2 linked regions of the Astyanax mexicanus genome follow. The protein of the gene in region 1 interacts with the protein of each later gene in a pairwise test. Links are inferred from orthologs where the notes say so. Each region holds a gene or a part of one and is shown in the gene's direction. Other genes may lie near its edges.

Region 1 (5,417 bases):
GGAGGGAGACATGCCGGTTGTAAGGCACAGAATCAGTCATACTGAGAGTGTTTAAAGCTGTTTGGAGCTGTTTAAGCGGACTGTTGCTCTGTGTGGGTGGGGGAAATCAAATCAAAGTGAGGGAGTGGAGCGTTAAAAGCACAAGAAGTGTTAAAACATGAGCAGCAGCATCAGCTTGTTATTGAGGGGAATTGTCTGCTGGCTATGATGGAAATGTGTTTTGATAATTCTAACCTATTTGGTCAACGCACATACCATGTTGAACATCTTTGTTTTTTGAAGTTCCTATGTTGCCACTCTTCAGAGAAGATGCAAAGAGGAGAAAAACTTATAATTGGTCACCTTAACCTTTTCTAATAATTGGATTCACCTGTGTATGTGGGTCAAGGGTCAATAAGCTTACCAAACAAATTTTGTGTTCCAATAATTAGTGCTAAATGTATTCAGATCAATAACATGACAAGGGTGCCACATTTATTCACCTGCCTAATTTTGTTTAAAGAATTATTGCACATGTTCTGTAAATCCTATAAACATTATTTAACTTCTCAAATATCAGTGTTCGTCTGCTAAATGATATATTTAACTGAAATTGCTGATCAGAACAACCAATGATTTATAAAGAAAATTAAAAATGATCAGGGGAGCTCACTTTTTCATACCACTCTAAATACACAATGGTGTGAAAAAGTATTTGCCCCCTACAGATTTCTTTTGTTTCTGCTTTTTTTGTTATGCTGATAATTTTCAGATTATCAAACAAACTTTAATATTAGACAGAGATAAATAGTAAATATAAACAACACTTTTTAAATGATAATTTCATTTATAAAAGGAGAAAAATATTCAAACCAATCTAGCACTGTGTGAAAAAGTGTTTGCCCTCTAAACCTAATAACCTACCTGTGCCACACTTGGAGGCAACAACAAAAATCAGGTTTTATCAATAACTACGAATGAGCCTTTCACATTTCTGTGGAGGAATTTTGTTCCACTCTTCTTTACAGAATTGTTTTTGTTCCACTCTTCACAAGGGTTTTTGAGCATGAACATCCTGTTTAAGATCTTGCCACAGCATCCCAATCAGACTTTGACTAGGCCATTCCAAAACCTTAAAATAAAATATATCTATAATTTGCTTTACTCACCTGATGTTTTGCAATTTCCTTTTTCATTTGTAAACAGCAGTTTCCAATCTGCTAAAGTAGTAAAAAGATTTTTTTATGACCCTTTGAACTTGGCATTCAAAAAATAGTTAAAGGAGAATAAATAGCCTGTTTTGTATATTTCGAGTTGCCCTAACTTCAGATTATCAAGTAGTCTTTTGAAGCTGACACCACATTATGAAAATAGAACTGTTAGACTGTGAATAGCCTAAAACAGGAAATATAACAGTATTATTTATTTTTATTATTACCCTCTGAACTTGGCATTTGAGAAATTTTGAATGAGAACAGATAGCCTGTTCTGCAGATTTCCAGTAGCTCTAACTCCAGATAATAAACTAGTCTGCTAAAGTTGAGCACAGTTGAACGAGGAATATTACTGTATATATTTTTTTTCAATTATGATTCTCAGAACTTGGCATTTGAGAGATTTTGAATGAGAACTAATTGCCTGTTCTGCATATTGCCAGCTGTCCTAACTCCAGATTATGAAACAGTCTGTTAATAAATCTAAATAAGACGCTGGCGAAGGTGTGTAGGATTAGCTAAAAACTCAGTAACATCAGTAAAATGAATCCTGTCTAATGTATTCCAGTGTATTGCTCTCTTTGCTGCTCGTTTGAGATGCGAGAGGCGGCGAGTCACGTGATCACGCCGGGTCTCGCCAAGAGCGCTGGTCGCTACGTTTTTAGGTGAAGATCGGAAGTTTCCAGCAGTTAAACCGCTGGATTGGGAGCTCGGCTGGCGGACTGAGCGGCGGCTCGGACTAGTAGGTGACCTTACGTGGTTTTTGGCTTGGTTTCCGTGCGCGTTTGAGGCTAATAAGCGCTGTTTTTCTCTCAATTTCCCCCCAAAGTTACGGCGGGGAGTCGCCTGGGTATGACGTAAACGCGTAACTGGCTCGCTACACAGTGACAGCGGAGAGACGGCTGATCATCGGAAAAATGGGGGCAAATTCGTTTTAACGCGGATTTTAAGGGGCTTTGAAGGCTCGGACCCGCATCTGTCAGCAGCTTAGAGTTTAGTACAGAGGCTGAGCCCAGCATCTGGACACAGACATCCCGCGTTTTGAGGCGAGAGGAGGTAAAAACGCCGCCCCCCTCCCTCCTTTCCTCTCTTCCTAGCTAGCTAACAACCTCCGCCGCCTCCTTCTTCTCCTCGGTTAGCCAGTCAGCTATGTTAAGCTAGCTGACTAGCTAAATAGCAGCCTCCTGCCCCACATTTAAAGCTCTTACTTCGTTAAAAACACCAACACACAGGTGGCCATCCGACCTGTAGCCCAGCCAACGTGCTCAGTAAGCCCTAAGGGCGGCTAGCGCTCGCTCTGGAGGCTCTCTCCGGCTCCACAGCTGCTGCTGGCCCCGGTAAGTTAACGTAACGTCCAGCCGCTGCAGCACACTCCGCGATCAAAAAGCGAACAACACGTTAGTAACGTCTACATTAAGTTTCTGTAGACGTGTAGGCCTGTCCACACTGCTTATAAGCTCGAAACTACCCGTTACCGTAAAGCAAAACAACCTGTAACATCTTAAAAGCTGAAGTTGACTACTTGTTCGAATTATCCGTTCCACCTTAAATAGCGCAGCTGTCACAGTGAGGGCACCTGAGCCTCAGTGATGCTGTGCTTCTGCACCAGTTAAGGTGGAATTGTGATATTGGATATGTCTGTTTTTATTAAAGCTGCGACTAATTATTTATTTTGGTAGTCGACTAATCTGATGATTTTTTTTCAATTAGTCAACTAATATTTCTGCCATGTCCTCCGTCTCTAAAAATGATAGAAATTGCTGAACATGAGATTTAAAAGTTATTTATCTGAATGTTGTTTAAACATGTAAAGTACTAATGTTTAGTGAGTAAATATGTAATCTGTGTGTTTGGGCACTTTTGGAACCACAGACTAAGTTCTGTCCCCAGCACTTTGTGTAATACGGTACAGTTACAAATTAACCATTAGTCGACAATAATATTTGTAGACACATTGTCAATAATGTTGACTAATCGTTGTATCCCTAGTTTTTAATACACTGCCTGGCCAAAAAAAGTCTCCACCTGGATTTAACTAAGCAAATGATCAGTAGTATCTGCAGCAGTTGGTCAGGTCTGGTTTTAGCAACAGTATGTGCTGAAAGAATGAGGTCAGCTGACTACCTAAATATACTGAATATAGAGCAGGTTATTCCATCATTGAATTTTTCTTCCCTGATTGCACGGGTATATTCCAAGATAACAATTCCAGGATTCATGGGGCTGGAATTGTGAAAGAGTGCTTCAAGGAGAATGAGATCATCATTTTCACACATCCATTTTTACAAAATCCTAACAATGTATGGCACTGTGTTTTCTGTACTAAGAGCTTATCATAAAATTACAAGCATGTATGATCAGATATTTAAAAAACATGCTACATTTAGGCATTGGCATTTCTTGTCAGCAGTGTTGTATCTATCCTCTGATCACACCCATGGCCCATTCCCCAGTCCTGTTTCCATACCCCAGGTTGCCAGGTATGGAGGACAGTAGCAGGCAAGCACACAACATACTGCAGCATAATTGCATAAAGCTTCATGTACATGTACATGTACATTACATGTATGTGTTAAGTAGATCTTAAACCTATTTTAACCATTCACATCAAGTATATTTTGAACAGATTGTTTATTATGTTCCATTATAAACTAACAAACTAATTACCTTTACTTTTTTTTTTCAGTCTAGCATGTGAATGTCTGAAGTGGCCTAAGTGCCAAGAAACTACAGTCTTCAACACCTCTCAAAGCCTCTCTGGTGCCACCAACAATGTCAAGCAGAAGGAAGTCCACCACCCCCTGCATGGTGCTACCCTCAGATGTGGTGGAGCAGGATCCAGACATTGAAACTCTGGCAGGGGAGGAAGGAGCCGAGACTGCTGCAGAAAGCCCTGCAGAAGGAGCGGCAGTTCCTATGGAAACTGAGGGAGGTGAGGGTTGGTATCCTTAATTCAAGCCTCTGTTAGGGTTAGATTTTTGTTTTTATCAATTTTGGCCTTAATTGAGTTGGTACCTTGACATAGTAGACGCTAGTTATGTTTCAAAGTTAGGGAAGGCCCTCAGTAGAACTGTCCTGTAAATACTCATTTTCAGTAGCATGTTGGTTACACACATGGAAATGCTGAACATAAGTTAAGACAAAATAATCTACACCAAACAATGTGATTTATTTTTAAGCAGTGGTGACTGACATAGTCACTGCGAAGGTTCACTGCAAAAGCCATGCCATTTGACATAATACTAGTTCCTGTTCCATGACATTTGGCATTTGAGTGTATGTATGAGACATAATGAAAAATCAGTAATTTCATTATAAATAATATAATATATTTCCTTAAAAGATGTAGGTAACAGTCTACACATCTGTATCTTAAATAGTTTAATGGCACAAGGTATCCAGATTTGATTTGATAGTTCGGGCCTCTCTAAACATCTTGTCATTATATCATTATAAGCTTGCTTATTATTGATGTTCACATGTTAAATGTCATGAAATATTTTACTGTTTTTACTTTCCAGATCATGAGGACAGTGTAAGCCATTCTGCAGGGAAACGCCCCAGTCAAACCACTGTGGAACAGTCAGCCACCGATCTAACCACTGATGCAAGTTTTGCACAGCCTGAGACCGAGGAGAGTGAAGACCCTTCAGTTACTGCGATCTCCTTGAGCAAGACGCCTATCATGAAAAAGAAAAGCAAGCCTGAATCCAAGAGAATAGCCGTGTCTCTCAAAGGCACTGATGAAAGCGATGCGTTGGTTGAAAGTGAGGGGGATCCAGAACCAATGGAGGCATCTGTTTTGGGTGCCTCCATCACAGCCGACATGATGAATCCAGTATCTTCTGAGTCAGCAAAGCCTGGTTTGCTTGTAAGCATTCCTAATCCAGTGTCCAGTGAGCAAAAGAAGCCAGTTTTGAACCCTGCTGCGGTGCTCCCTGCTGGTCTGGCTCAAGTCCTGTCAGCCCTACAGGCACAGCAGAGTGCGCAAGCTCAGCTCCTGATTCCACTGAGCAGCATTCCCACCTACAACGCAGCCATGGACTCCAATGCCCTGCTGGTGAACACTTACAAGAAGTTTCCTTACCCTTCAGCATCTGAAATCATGGGTCTGGCAGCACAGACCAAGTTCAGCGAGGAACAGATAAAGATCTGGTTCTCAGCTCAGCGTTTGAAGCATGGTGTAAGCTGGACACCAGAGGAAGTTGAGGAAGCAAGAAGGAA
Region 2 (5,417 bases), about 11 Mb from region 1:
GAGGTTCAAAAATATTACTAACACACAATTAAACAGAGTTGGTGTTAATCATGGAGTTGGAGAAACTGAGGACATGTCTGCTTTCATAATGTCAACAAGTATTCTTTAAATACTTAATATGGCACTGCATTATTGCCATTAGGCCTATATACACATTAAATGTCTAACTGTTTATGCACACCCCTACTAATAAATGCATTGAGCTACTTTAAGTTGCACCCTTTGCTGACACAGATGAACACACAGAGCTTGTCTAGTGCCTGTAGGGAAGTATTACCAGTAGAATAGTACTCTATTCTATAGCCAGTTCTCAATCCAATGCTTTTGGAATGAGCTGGGAAGTTAAGGAAGAGGTAGGGTGGTGATCAGACAACACCCTGACATTGTAACACCTGATTGCTGACCTCCTGATTGGAGGTCTCCCGTGGACCATAGCAGCAGTTCCTCCAACAAATACATTTGATTTTGGATGAAACAATAAATTGCCCTGTGTCCAAATACTTTTGTGCACATACTGTATCAGGTTTTTCAACAGTGTTCTCTAAGTGACTTTACTTACACCCCCAATTTGTAACATGCAATACAATAGTATGTCATGTTTTAGGCATGTATTCTGAGAAATGTATATCAAAAAGCAGTTAAAATGGCTATTTACGGTTTATGTGTTCAGTAAAATACTAATATTATAATGAAAAAGCTGTGCTTTTACTGTAAGCGTGCTGGTATGTTCCTTTAAACGTTTCCAATCCTGTATCTTTGGCAGCTCAATATCTACAGTCCAATACCTGGCTCATCATTACTTAACTACATTGGATCAGTTGTCCCAGTATAGAACTTATCAAATTCATGTTTTCGTTCATAGAATCATTCAGAGAAATCTGGAAGCAGATCAAGCTTATTTTTATCACTTTTCACTTATTCTTTGTGTCTTTCTAATGATATACGATGTTTGTACAAGCAAAACATACATATCTCCCAGATTAATGACTTTAAGGAAAGAGCTTGGATGCACAGACCTGTATTATTGTATATGCTGTTATGCCTGCTCTGCAGTCTGTGCATGGTGTCATAGACTTAATTTTTTTATAATCTTACACTATATGTGTTGTTTCACCTGCGTCAAAGAAAGACATGCCTAGCCATGCAAACTTCCAGGACACATCCAGACAACAGACAAAAGGCCTTGTCCAACACGTTCTGAAAACCAGTGTGAGCAAAATGGGTTAACCCATTCATATCCAAATAATAAAAATGTTTAGTCTGAAAAGGAAAATGCTGAAGACTTTGTTTTTGCCTAAAAGAAACATCGGATTTTGCAATATTTTGATGTTCTGTAACATATATATATATATATATATATATATATATATATATATATATATATATATATATATATATATATATATATATAGCACCATCACACTTTTTTGTCCAAAATTCACATTTAGATTTTTGTTTATTTAATAAAACTGACAACATTATGCAGCTAGACCACTTTTGTTGGAAATAGTGCTAAAACAGTGGCGGTTATTACTTTAGTTCCAAAAAATAAATAAAATCTGTGCCATAATGGGTTATGCCATTCATCGCCAGACATCAATGATCCAATATGTCCTGATATTAAAAATACAACTTTGTGTAGCCAATGTTGTATTAAAATAAACTACAGTGGGCAGATAATAATAATGATAATAATAATAATAATAATAATAATAATAATAATAATATTTTTCTTTTGTATCCTACTCAATCAAAGAAAATTCAATAATTCACTTTTTCAAGATACAACAAATACACATATTTTCAGATTTGTTCTCAGACAAGAGCGGAAAAAATAATGACCAAATGAAATTTAACATACAACTTAGATAATTTAACGTAATTTAATAGATAATTTAACGTAAATTACAAATATATTACACTTAAAACTTCTGTGCTCACTGTAGACAGTCATATTTGTGATTTATTTTCAATAAAACAGACAGACTAAAGGAGCGGGTATATGTCTGCATTTGGCTAACCTATGTAACTATAATATCTCTAAACTACAGGCGCCCACTGTCGACCGCGTTTTGGTTTTAACCACCCGTATTCCGACAAATCGCGCCTATCTGCTCTGCGATTGGCTAGTCGTGTCAAACCACCTGCGCTTGGATTGGACAAAGTTTTTTCGGCATGGCTTTTTAGCCAATCATAACTGGAATAAGGCGGGAATTGTAGGAATACGGGCGGGGGAGGAAAAGGCGATGTCCAAACACCTGAATCACCGCCTTTTAGACACAGCGGCATTCTTTCGCTCCTTCTCCACCACAACAGCCATGACCCGGTTCCTAGCAGCGCCCCGGGGGTTTGTAGTGGTTTCCTTTATTGTGTTTAAAAGGTAGTTAATTTGGTTGTGGTTACAGAGCTAGACTACTAGCTAGTGAAAGTACTCACAGTGTAGACAGCAGAAGGAAACGGGGGCACAGCTGAGAGAAAGTGCCGAGGAGACGGTGGATAGATATTTACAGGCTAACGGCACAAACTCAAATTTACACAATTGACTTTTTTGAAAATTAACGGCTGCAGTTTATTTAGCGTTAGCATTAAATTTAGGTTTAAAATGCGAGAAATACGCGCTTATACGACTAAAAACTAACTTCACTCCACTCCCTCCTGTAAAATATACGTGAAAGGTTGCTAAAAAGCTTGTTAAAACAATTTTAAACATAACAAATATCGAAATATTTGTAGTAATTAACGTATTTTAGCTTACCGAGCACGAGAGCCAAACTATGAAGAGAAGAAGGTAGCAGTGAAGGCGATGCATGTCTTAACGTTAGTTCTCCTCAGCAGCTCCTGGTCGACCCACATCAACTACTTCAGTAGGTTAACTCGTTAAATTCTCAGTAAATCCCAACGTGTGTATCAAAAAACCCAGTCATTTTAAATGACACACAATAAGCCCATAAAGTATCCGTTAAAAGAGAACAGCGTTCCCAGGAGTGACCCCTCGATGTTGGTATGACGAGCTTGGCTGTCAACTGAGTGAGAGAAAGAGAGAGAGAGAGAGGACAGCTGATTCAGTGAAGGGCTCCTCTAAGCTGCTCCTCCTTTCGTTAGGTTGTTTAGCAATGCTGAGAGCTTATAACTTGTTCTCTCAGCAAATACAGTAACCAGCAGCAGCCTACCCAGCTGAATTATACTGGAAATTACACTTTATCCATCAAATGTAATGTTAATATCTCATATTTGTTTAAATAATGCCTTAAACAGTATATAAAATGGGTTGTATCAAGAAAGTCCACTACAAATACAATTTTATTACTAAACAAAATCAAGCACAAGCTATTTGCACCCAGGTGTATGCAGCAGTCTGTACTAATTACATACAGATCTAAGTAACAGTGTGTGTAGCAGTATTAAAAGTCTTTATAAGGAAAGTCAATGTAAAAATAATTTGTTTCAAATTTAGTAATGTCTTTTGATCCATTTATTATGACATTTTGGCACAATTTCAAGACCAACTGCCATATTCAAATGACGTAAAAATGAAAAATTGAGATTTTTTTGCTTAATAATGATAATATTGGCAAATTAAATTTTTAAAACTACATATTATTTTCACAATTTAGCAACTAGAATATCTGTCTTTTTCTTACATAAACCCAAATACTAGATTTGTTTGAATACAATTTCAATATCTATGAACTTATTTTCCGGTATGAATTATCTTTATTCTAAAGTTCACAGAATAAAAGAGGATTCGCATTGCTTTACAACCACACTAATGTAAGTCCTGGGCTCTAGGCACTTAGCTATATTTTAACAGCAAATAAAATGTTCCCAGTCATTAGGGTGTACTGCATTGCAAAGTTTTAGGTTTTTAAGGGGTAAATTTAGCCTCCCTGTCATGCAAAAGCTACTTGTACCTGGGAGCAAGCAAATAGTCATGCCCAACAAAATATCATAAAAGAAGAGCACAGCTGCGTTTCTTTTGTAGACAGTTTGACCCAATATTTCAGATTTTGTTTTTTTTATTATAATTGCAATACATTAAAACTATAAAATTTTATAGTTGCGTTTTTTTAACATACATCAACTCATGCATTCATAAAAAAAAGCTGTTTCAGGTGTTATTTTGTCCCATTCTTTCTGCAAACTAGTCTTAAGTGCAAGTGCAATAGTACAAGGTAACATTCTGTGTCAACACTGCAGGCAGGCCAGTCCATTACATGTACCCTCTTCTATCACAGCCATGTCTTCCTGTGCAGTATGTGGTTTTGCATTGTTTTATTGAAAAACACATGGACGGAAATTATGTAATCTTGAAGGCTGCACATGTTGCTCCAAGATCTCAGTGTACTTTAATGCATTCAGGCTGCAACACATATGTGTAGTGACACAACCACATACCATATTTTTTCACTTGTTGCTCTTATCAGTCTGTATGGTACTTTTTCACTTTGGTCTGGAGCTCACAACTTAATTTTCTCACAAAAAAAGATCTGAAATACTGCTTTGTCTGAGCACAATTCATGCTTTCACTGTGATGGTCTGTCGTAGGTACCTCCAAACTCAGAAAGGTCTATGCCACTTCTGGACATGGTGACCATCTCATAAATTTAAAGTGGTCTTTTGTAATGTAAGTCTGTAATGCAGCAGTTGAAAGACGTTTGGCAAAGTACTCCCTTGCTCATATTTTGGCAACTACTGCTGAATAAAGCATGATATACCCTGTTTGAATTCATTAAATCATTAATTAGTTTGTGTATGTCAGGATTACTGGCCCATAATTGCTCCTTTCCCAACTTATTTGAAATATTTATACTCAATATGGAGAAATAGATGTATATTAATAAATAAAATGAAATTGATCAGACAAAATATGAAATATATTGCATTCATACTGTCTGAAAATAAATGAAAATCACAATAAAATATTGTGTTCAAAATATTAGCTGTTTTAGTTGCATTTGCCGTTCTGTAATGTACTTTTTTAGGTTTGGAGTTATAAATGATGAAACAGAAAACTAAAAGACAACACATACAAGTAAATCAGTATCTAAAGGACAGTTTCACCTCAATGCCTTTTACCATACCACATGCACATCAGAAAACCTACTTTACTACATTTCAGCTAAAGTATGTAGAAGTACTGAAATATTAACATTATTATTTACACAGACATTATTTGGGCAATTCAGACCTAACATTATAAGGTTTTTACAAAAAAAGCACAAATCAGACCCTGAGAAGTGTCGAGATGTGTAACTGTGATAGTGTTAAACATCATTTAATTTTAATTTAATTTAATTCATGTTGTTTGATTTTGATTCTGCCATGAAATCATTACACTAATACTCATCATCTTGCAGTTTAGTATCTGTAAAAATTAAGCAAGATGAAAAAGAAGTTAAACCAGCAAGGTCTTAGGC

Evidence for each region.
Region 2: the proteins of zinc fingers and homeoboxes protein 1 (region 1) and zmynd11 interact in a two-hybrid assay, tested with the Homo sapiens proteins (2 studies listed by BioGRID and IntAct). The link is inferred for Astyanax mexicanus from reciprocal best matches to the Homo sapiens genes ZHX1 and ZMYND11.

What each region holds. Positions count from the first base shown.
Region 1 is NC_064408.1:112,363,619-112,369,035, reverse strand, and holds the start of zinc fingers and homeoboxes protein 1, read left to right. Parts: upstream 1-1,716; 5' UTR 1,717-1,935; intron 1,936-1,959; exon of another isoform or gene 1,960-2,022; 5' UTR 2,023-2,249; exon of another isoform or gene 2,250-2,530; intron 2,531-3,879; 5' UTR 3,880-3,965; coding exon 3,966-4,131; intron 4,132-4,714; coding exon 4,715-5,417. UniProt on the Homo sapiens protein: Acts as a transcriptional repressor. Increases DNMT3B-mediated repressive transcriptional activity when DNMT3B is tethered to DNA. May link molecule between DNMT3B and other co-repressor proteins.
Region 2 is NC_064408.1:101,788,487-101,793,903, reverse strand, and holds the start of zmynd11 (zinc finger MYND domain-containing protein 11), read left to right. Parts: upstream 1-2,227; 5' UTR 2,228-2,347; intron 2,348-2,755; coding exon of another isoform or gene 2,756-2,809; exon of another isoform or gene 2,810-3,146; intron 3,147-5,417. Other genes in the region: vipr2 (vasoactive intestinal polypeptide receptor 2), read right to left, coding at 2,756-2,809. UniProt on the Homo sapiens protein: Chromatin reader that specifically recognizes and binds histone H3.3 trimethylated at 'Lys-36' (H3.3K36me3) and regulates RNA polymerase II elongation. Does not bind other histone H3 subtypes (H3.1 or H3.2).